Macaca fascicularis: one gene and its partner. The protein of the gene in region 2 interacts with the protein of the main gene of each other region in a biochemical or structural test. Links are inferred from orthologs where the notes say so. Each region holds a gene or a part of one and is shown on either strand. Other genes may lie near its edges.

Region 1 (4,402 bases), about 1.7 Mb from region 2:
CTGGATACAAATTGTGGCATTCTCCCCACCCCTGCTTCCCAAACATGGGCTTGTCCAGTTTCACTCATTGAGGCCTCTGGAGTCAGATGGCTATGTGAGCACAGAGAAATTGCTAAACTACTCTGTGCCCCTTTCCCCATTTATAAAGTTTTAATGGTACCAATAATACATACATATCTTATAGGCTTGGTGTGAAAATGAAATGACTGACACACATAAAGCATTTAGAACAGTGCCTGGTATAAAGCAAGTATGCAGTATATACTAATATTATTCACTCAACAAACATTTGTGTACAGGCTTTCAGTACAGAAAGTGTCAGGTGCTGCGCAGTGGCTGTTGTTCATTTTGTTTTCCCCACACCTTGCACCCTTGCACCCTTGACAAATGATGTGGCTGCCACATCATTTGTCCTTAATAGCTGCTGAATGGGATCATTCAAAGTCAATCTATGGATAAAAACAATTAGCCCTGATACTCTGATTTCCAGTCCAGTGAGGGAGACAATGAAAGTGACAGCATCACATGACATCACAGTATTAACATTTTTGAGAAATAGAAGTGCCTAGATTGACATCTTGGGATAGAATGGGCCACTGAACATACAAGGTTAGGCCAAGTCTAGAACCCACACACTTGTCCCTCACCTTCCCCCAAAGTGTGTGAAGGGGGTGCGGAGGACCTGCATGGAGGAATAAAAAAACTCACTGAGGTAAAGTCATCAATTATAACAAATGTACCACCCTGGTGGGGGATATTGATAACAGGGGAGGCTATGCATATATGGGGCAGAGGGTATATGGGAAATCTCTGTTCTTTCTGCCCAACTTTGCTGTGAACCTAAAACTGCTCTAAAAAATAAAGTCTATTAAAACAAATCTCATTGGGGAAATGAAAAATTCACTTTACTTGGGGAAGGGACATGTGGACTTTTTGATTTTTACAATTCTGACTGGGAATTAGAAGTTGAGCTGAGTAGAAATGAGAATGGGAGTGGGTGCCAGTTTTACAAGTATCAAGCTTCTTGCTTGGGCAAATCTGTCATGACTAACCTGCCGCATTTGCAAAGCATTTCTGCCTGGGTTTTATTGGGGCTTCACAAAAGGGTGTGTATTTAAAAATAAAAACACTGAAAAGCTTTTGTGAAGATTCAAAGAAGAAAACATGCAATGAAGTGAGCAGCCTCCGATTGGATAGACTTGCCTTGTGGGGCTGGGCTGCTTCTCCCTGACCGGTGACTTCCAAAGCCTCAGTAGGACCAGCTATTGGTCAGCAGTGCCTAAGATGCTATGGGCCAGGCTGGCCAAGAGGCTAGCAAGCACAGAGATGGAAAAGTCCAGCTCACAGTTCAGCACCATCACTCCTTACAGTCACCAAGAAGTGCTCCAAAAATGGTGCAGTCACAAATTGGTTGCAACGAGGGAAGCGTGGCTTTCCCTGTGACCACTTAAAGTGGTTCAGTTTGGTTTTCTGAGCCCTGAGCTCAGTTCTGTCTCTCCTAGACCTTGGGAAGTATGACCCATGGGTCTGCAGATTCCAAAAGGAAGTGGCTGAGCAAGCCCTGTTCATCTGGCTGTCTGGTAAAAGACACATCCATTGTGCAGCACCCCCACATCCCTGGTATATCTCGGTGCTTTTCCTGGAAAAGTCCATATTGGATTTGCGGTCTTGAAAACCCCAAGCTTAAAACACCCTGGGCCTCAGGATTTCCCCCCCTGTCCGTAATGCCACCTCTTCTACTCCAGGCTACCTCCCACAGTCTAAACAAATAAGCAGAAAGAGATTCTCACCCCACTCACACAGGCAGTCCAAAGTCCACTTCTTGCTTGGCTTTTTCTTTCTCAAATACCTTTTCTCATAGCCCTGATACTTCTAAACAGAAAGCAAGAGCTTGCCTTGGGAAGAAGATATCCAGAAAGACAGGAACAGAGTCCAGATCCAAAGGTAGCCCTTGTCTGGCCTTCCTGCTGGAGCTACTCTCTGAGGGTCCCCAATTTGCATTTCCCACATACTGTAACCAGCCCTAGGCTCCAGAAATCCCAACTTCTTCCCTCTTGCTTTCTTGGACCTTCTCTTCCAAGAAAATACACACCAGTATGACCGCACTGTGGTCACTGCTGGTTATTAGCCAAAAGCCTGGAGTTTTCACTTCTACTCTCTCTTCCCATTCTAGCCAATGCTTTCTGTTGACCCATGCTCCTGGTTTGTCAGGCTGCATGGGCACAGATTCCCTCCTAGGGCAGGGATGTAGGGCAAATCATCTCCCAGAGCTCACTCCATCCAGCTCAGTCTCTCTAGGCTGGATCTTTGCCAGAAAAATGCCCATGTAAAACCAACCACTCAACCAGGACTTCTACCAGAGCCTGTCACCCTAAGACTGGTCAGAGAAGTGACTGGAGCCTTTGGCTTAGAGCTCCTCATTTCCTTGGAAAAGGGGCTGGTGGGCTTGAGTCTTGGAAACCCAGGGGCCCAGGAACTCATAATGTTCCTTCCTCTTTGAAAGAGGCAGTTGAAACTGACAGCCAGTCCCTAAGGAAGAGTGACCAAACACAATCCCCAGCCCTGCACCTTCTCTCCATCCACGAAGATATGCTGATTCCAGGCAGCTAACGTGGGACTCAAACCATCAGGCAGATGAACACTCACCTGTTCCATAGCTTGCCCCAAAAGCCAGGGAGAGAAATAACACAAAGGTCAAGGAGAGGAGCCCCTTGGGATCCATCAGCCAGTGAGGAGAAGGAAGGGGTCCTGGTCAGAGCCTGGCAGCTGCTCACAGACGCTAGGCAGAGCGAGCTTCGTGTCATGCAGTGCTGCCTCTGCTGTCTAATTTATGTATCAGGAACCAGCAGGTTCCTGAACCCGCTTCCTGTATCACCGGGACTTTTTCTGCTTGTGTCTTGAGGATTGCTCATCTCCCATGAGGCTTTAAATCACTTTTTTCTTCTCAAGAAGCAGGCTTCTCAAGAAGCCAGGCACTTAGCCTATGGGAGCCAGGAAAGGGGGTGTGTAGTCACCTCGGCCAAACCCCGGCTTTGGGCAGAAACATGCACCCCTGCTTCTTTCCTTAGCTGCCTCCAGGAACCGGATGTTGCAGATTATCTGAGCAGTTCTCTCCGGTAAGTCTTCTTGGATTGCAAAGAAAAGATGTTTTGTCAGATCACTCCTCAAATTTGGCAGTTCACAGCTGAATTTAGATGACTGCATTTTGATGAGCTCATAGACCTCTTACTTCTGTTTTATTTCATAATTTCAGATAACACTTCAACATGTAGTCTGGTGCGGGTGCCACTGTCACAGAGAGATGGGATGGGCAAGTGCGGGTCACTTGGAAGAAACCCTGTGACCCCAATGAGTGCAATGTGGTATAATTTAGTGTCCCATGCTCCTAGTTTGTCTTCTCACATGTGTGTGGATTCCCTCCCAGGCAGGGATGTAGGACAAATCTATCCCAGAGCTCCATCCTTCCAGCTCAGTCTCCTTGTTGTGTTTGTTTTTTCCTAATTTTTAACGTCTGTGTGTACATAGTCAGTATGTATATATATAGATGTATGGGGTATATGAGATATGTTGATAGAGGCATGCAATGCGTAATAATCACACAGGGTAAACGGGGTATCCATCACCTCAAACATTTATCCTTTGTGTTACAAACAATGCAATTATACTTTTAGTTATTTTTAAATGTGCAATTAAATTATTATTGACTATAGTCACACTGTCGTGTTATCAAATACTAGTTCTTATTCATTCTTTCTATTTTTTGTACCCATTAACCATCCCCACTTCTTCCCCAACCCCCACTACCCTTCAGCCTCTGGTAACCATCCTTCTACTCTCTGTCCACAAGTTCAATTGTTTTACTTTTTACCTCCCACAAGTGAGAACGTGTGAAGTTTGTCTGTCTGTGCCTGGCTTATTTCACTTAACATAATGATCTTCAGTTCCATCCACATCGTTGCAAATGACAGGATCTAATTCTTTTTTAGCTGAATAGTACTCCATTGTGTATATGTAACACATTTTCTTTATTCACTCATCTGTGATAGACACTTAGGTTGCTTCCAACCTTGGCTATTGTGAATAGTGCTGTAATAAACATGAGAATACAGATATCTCTTCAATATACTGATTTCTTTTCTTTTAGGTGTACACCGAGCAGTGAGATTGTGGATCATATGGTAGCTCTATTTTTAGTTTTGTGAGGAACCTTCAAACCATTCTCCACGGTGGTTGTACTAACTTATAGTCCCACCAACAGTGTACAAGGGTTCCCTTGTCTCCACATCCTTGTCAGCATTTGTTGTTGCCTGTCTCTTGGATAAAAGGCTTTTTAATTTAACTGGGGCTGTGTTGTATTCTGGGAGTTGCCTTTATTTTAGAGTTTGTGTCTAACTTTTCATTG
Region 2 (4,378 bases):
GAAAGAAGGAAAGAAGGAAGGAAGGGAAGGAAGGGAAGGAAGGGAAGGAAGGAAGGAGAAATGAAAAGAAGAGAAGAGAAAAGAAAAGAGAAAAGAGAATCCCAATATTGATCATATACCCTGAGATCCTGTCCAAGGTCTGTCCTTCCACCTTCTTCTTTTTTCCCTTCCCACTGCTTGCCCCAGCACAACTAGCTGTTCACCATCTCCCGTCTAGAGGCACAACAGTTTCTGTTGCCATCATTTCCCAGCTTCATTGTCTTCTCCATATCAGATCGAAGTTCCTAAATTCACCAGTCTTATCACTTCCCTGCTCAGAAATCATCCATGTTTCCCTGCTATCTATAGAACCATTCTTGTAAAACTCCATTATCTTATCCCACCCTCCTTTTCCAAAAGCTGGTTTCCAAACTACATTTTAGGAACCTTGTATGTAAATCCTTTAAAATAACCTAGTTCTAGACTCCTGTTCCTACCTCCTCCCCTTCATAAAATGCCCTCCATCCCATTTACATGTAATCAGATCTTATCCACTCTTTGTTTATTTTATTTTATTGGAGATGTAGAGTCTCTCTCTGTCTCACAGGCAATGGCGCAATCTCAGCTCACTGCAACCTCTGCCTCCTGGGTTCAAGTGATTCTCATGCCTCAGCCTCCCAAGTAGCTGGGATACAGGTGCACCCACCATGCCTGGCTAATTTTTGTATTTTTAGTAGATGGGGGTTTCATTATGTTGACCAGGCTGGTCTCAAACTCCTGACATCAGTGATCCGCCCACCTCAGCCTCCCAAATTGCTAGGATTACAGGCATGAGCCACCGTGCCTTGCCAATATATATTTTTCTTTAAATGGTACTGTGGATGTAGGTATGAGAGAAATAGCCTGTATCTCCATTACCATTTAAAGAAAGAAATATGTCCCTATGTATTCTATTAGTAATGACAATCACCTTTGTCTATAATCAGACTTCTGAGCCTATTCCAAGGCCCATTTGTGTACTTCCTTGTAAAATCAAGTTTTGGCAAAGAACTCTACTATGTCAGTTTGGCAAGGACTCCTCCCTCACCCTAGCTATCTGATCACTGTCAGATTCTGATCAGATTCCTCATCCTCCACCATCCCCCAGGCAACATCTGATCACCCTGGCCTGTCTTCAGTTACAGTTCTGTTAGGCTGGCTTAGCCAGAATCCACTTTACCCCTGATGTTTCCTCTGAGTAATTTTCTATCTACTGACAGCCACACTGCTCCTTGGCCATAAATTCCCACTTCTCCATGCTGGATTCAGAGTTGAGTCCAATCTATCTTCTGCACCGCAAGAGCTCATTGCAGTGGTCACTGTACCTTTGTGATGATCCTGAATAAAGTCTTCCCAACCATAATTTAACAAGGGACATTAAGCAATTTTTTTCTTTAACAAGAGACACTTAGATTTTAATTTCTGTTACAGGTATAGTAAAAGGTTCAGTGGTCCCTACTTTACAAAGAGGAACATATATAAAAATAGGAGGTTTCTAGTGATTTCTGTTCAGGATTGCTTTCTAAACTGGGCACAAACAAGTTCCTTCAGCTGGGTCTCTTTGATACTGTGGCCTGGAATTCTTTTTTTCTTTTTCTTTTTTCTTTTTGAGATGGAGTTTTGCTTTTGTTGCCCAGGCTGGAGTGCAATGGCGCCATCTCAGCTCACTGCAACCTCCGCCACCCGGGTTCAAGCGATTCTCCTGCCTCAGCCTCCCAAATAGATGGGATTACAGTCATGTGCCACCACACCTGTAATTTTGTATTTTTAGTAGAGACGGGGTTTCTTTTTTTGGTCAGGCTGGTCTCCAACTCCCAACCTCAGGTAATTCATCTGCCTCCGCTTCCCTAAGTGCTGGGATTACAGGAGTGAGACGTTATGCCCAGCCACTCTTTTTACTTTTTTTGGGACAGAGTCTCCCTCTATTGCCCAGGCTGGAGTGCAGTGGTGCAATTTCAGCTCACTGCAGCCTCTGCCTCCTGGGATCAAGTGATTCTCCTGCCTCAGTCTCTCAAGTAGCTAGTATTACAGGCACACGCCACCACACCAGCTTAATTTTTGTATTTTTGGTAGAGATGCGGTTTTGCCATGTTGGTCAGGCTGGTCTCAAACTCCTGACTTCAAGTGATTCGCCTGCCTCAGCCTCCCAAAGTTTTGGGATTATAGGCATGAGCCACCACGCCCGGCCTGGAATTTCATATTTAACTTAGACTCTGGAAATTCCAAATGAGTTTTAACACAAACAAATTATTTGAGAAATTCAGGTCTCTGTTTCTTTACTTATGAAATGGTGACTGCTTATGCTTGCCTCGATAGACTACAAGGATGAAAGGAAATGATGAATATTGAAGTCCTTTACAAATCTGACAAAATGTGAAATATGATTGTATTTATAGTTTAACTATTGCAAGCGGATGCTGCAGAATAAGTAGTCCTTCAGATTGAAACTTCTTAAAGAACCCCTAGCCTTTTCCATACCAAATAAACAGATCTCTGGAGGACAGGACCTCTGACATTTTCTCCATCCCCCTGTACCTTTGCTCCATCCCCCTGCACCCCTATACTTTCTGCAGCCCTTCCCTTCCCCACCACCATATCCCTCCTGCTGCTGCAGAGTCTGCTTGCAGGGCCCTTACACTAGGGAGAGCAGGCAGATGGAGGAGCATGGACAGATACATTCCTGTCCTGGCAGTGTCCATTAGTTCTCACTGTACTCATTGAGACTCCAAAGTCAGAGTGAAATACTGAGGGATATGAATTCCTGTACTGTGTGGCAGCCATTGCCACATTCAACATACGATGTCAGATGTGTGCAAAATGAGGCTACTCACGAGACACAGAGGCACAGGACTCCTGGTATCGACTCGCTGTCTCTTAACAGAAAGTTGCCATCCACCCCTTCCTTGAGCAGCAAGGTCTCACAGTCTTGCTTGGTCAGACGTCCGTGGTAGTAAGGCAGATCCATGGAGAACCCTCTTGTATCCCAGGTAGCCCTGTTGGCCTGAAATTCACCCCCAAGTCAAGGGACAGCTCTGGGGAGAAATGTGCAAGCAGTTGTACCTACTGTGGAAATACCTCTTCCTCTAGTGGTCTGCAGGACTCAGCCAGCTTCACAAGATTCAGGAAATTAGAAGGGCGGGGTTATAAAATGACCAACACTTTTCACCCTCTAAATGGCCCACATGTGACTTGCAGAAGTGGGTAAAGCACATTTAAACACACAATGGAATCAGTGATGCTCATAGCTAGGGAGGCAATGCTGAAGTCAAGCTTCCTGGAACTTGTTGAAGCCTTGTATGTTACCATGGACTATTATCACCTCTGGCTACTGGTATCCCTTCCAGGAAGCACACCACTACTTTTGCTCTAATGGTACCCACTTTCTGCTGAAGTTGCCTAGGATTGGGCTATGCTTGCCTTAGACTGGGTGCTCAAAAAGCATTTGGATGCTGAGAGAATTGATACGCTCAGATACAGTGGGAAAATTGAAAGGGTGGGATTTCCATGGGTCAAATGACACTAAAAATGGAAGACATTAATGGGAATAAAAAACAGTGGGACACTATGCATGAGAACAGCCCATTCCATGGCTAAGGCTCCCAGCCACTGGTGAAAAAAGGCCATTTGAACACCTTCAAGCATTGTTCCTTTTGGAGAAAGGGCTGGTGCAGGTGGGAGGGATATCTGGGTATACTCATACGTCTACAGAAAATCAGTATATATATCTCAAAAATGTTATCTATGAAAATAGAACTATGTGCTAATGATTCATCTTTACTTCTCTTAGCTTCTTCTTCTTTTTTTTTTTTTTCTTCATCTCTGAAGTACCTGGAGATCTTAACTTCTTAACCTAGGTGTTTATTTCACCTTGCTCCTTTGCTTACCAGCTGTTTACTCACACTTGGGTGTATCTTATATGGAACTTACTTGTAACAGATCTTTGTTCTTCCTTGGAATTCCCACTCTTTGCATTTGGCATAGGGTAGTTTCACTGATTGAGGAACTTGTTATCAGAGAGATATGCTCTCAAATAGCAACATTTCTTCTGTGGTTTTGGACAATTCATCATTCAATTCTCTGGAAACTATGGCAGTTGAAGACAGAGTTGTTAATAACGAAAGAAGAAATTTGGTAATTCTTGTGAATAAATTCACAATTGTGGTGTGAAGATGCTTTTTGACATAAGAGAGGAAATAACAAAGCATGCTCAGACTCTTGACCAAGAGGGGCTTGCTTGCCCTTTTTCCTGTTTCAAAATCCAATCCTCACAATAAAAGAAATTCAAATTACCTCCATGCTGAGATAACAATTCTCACCTATCATATTGGTGAAAATCAAAAGTTTGAAAGCTTACTGGGTT

What was found.
Region 1: the proteins of SH2D1B (region 2) and SLAMF1 interact in a test that uses a peptide from one of them, tested with the Homo sapiens proteins (2 studies listed by BioGRID). The link is inferred for Macaca fascicularis from reciprocal best matches to the Homo sapiens genes SH2D1B and SLAMF1.

The regions. Positions count from the first base shown.
Region 1 is NC_088375.1:100,376,058-100,380,459, reverse strand, and holds the start of SLAMF1 (signaling lymphocytic activation molecule), read right to left. Parts: upstream 2,805-4,402; 5' UTR 2,723-2,804; coding exon 2,647-2,722; intron 1-2,646.
Region 2 is NC_088375.1:98,663,761-98,668,138, reverse strand, and holds the start of SH2D1B (SH2 domain-containing protein 1B), read right to left. Parts: upstream 3,095-4,378; 5' UTR 2,984-3,094; coding exon 2,850-2,983; intron 1-2,849. UniProt on the Homo sapiens protein: Cytoplasmic adapter regulating receptors of the signaling lymphocytic activation molecule (SLAM) family such as CD84, SLAMF1, LY9 and CD244. In SLAM signaling seems to cooperate with SH2D1A/SAP.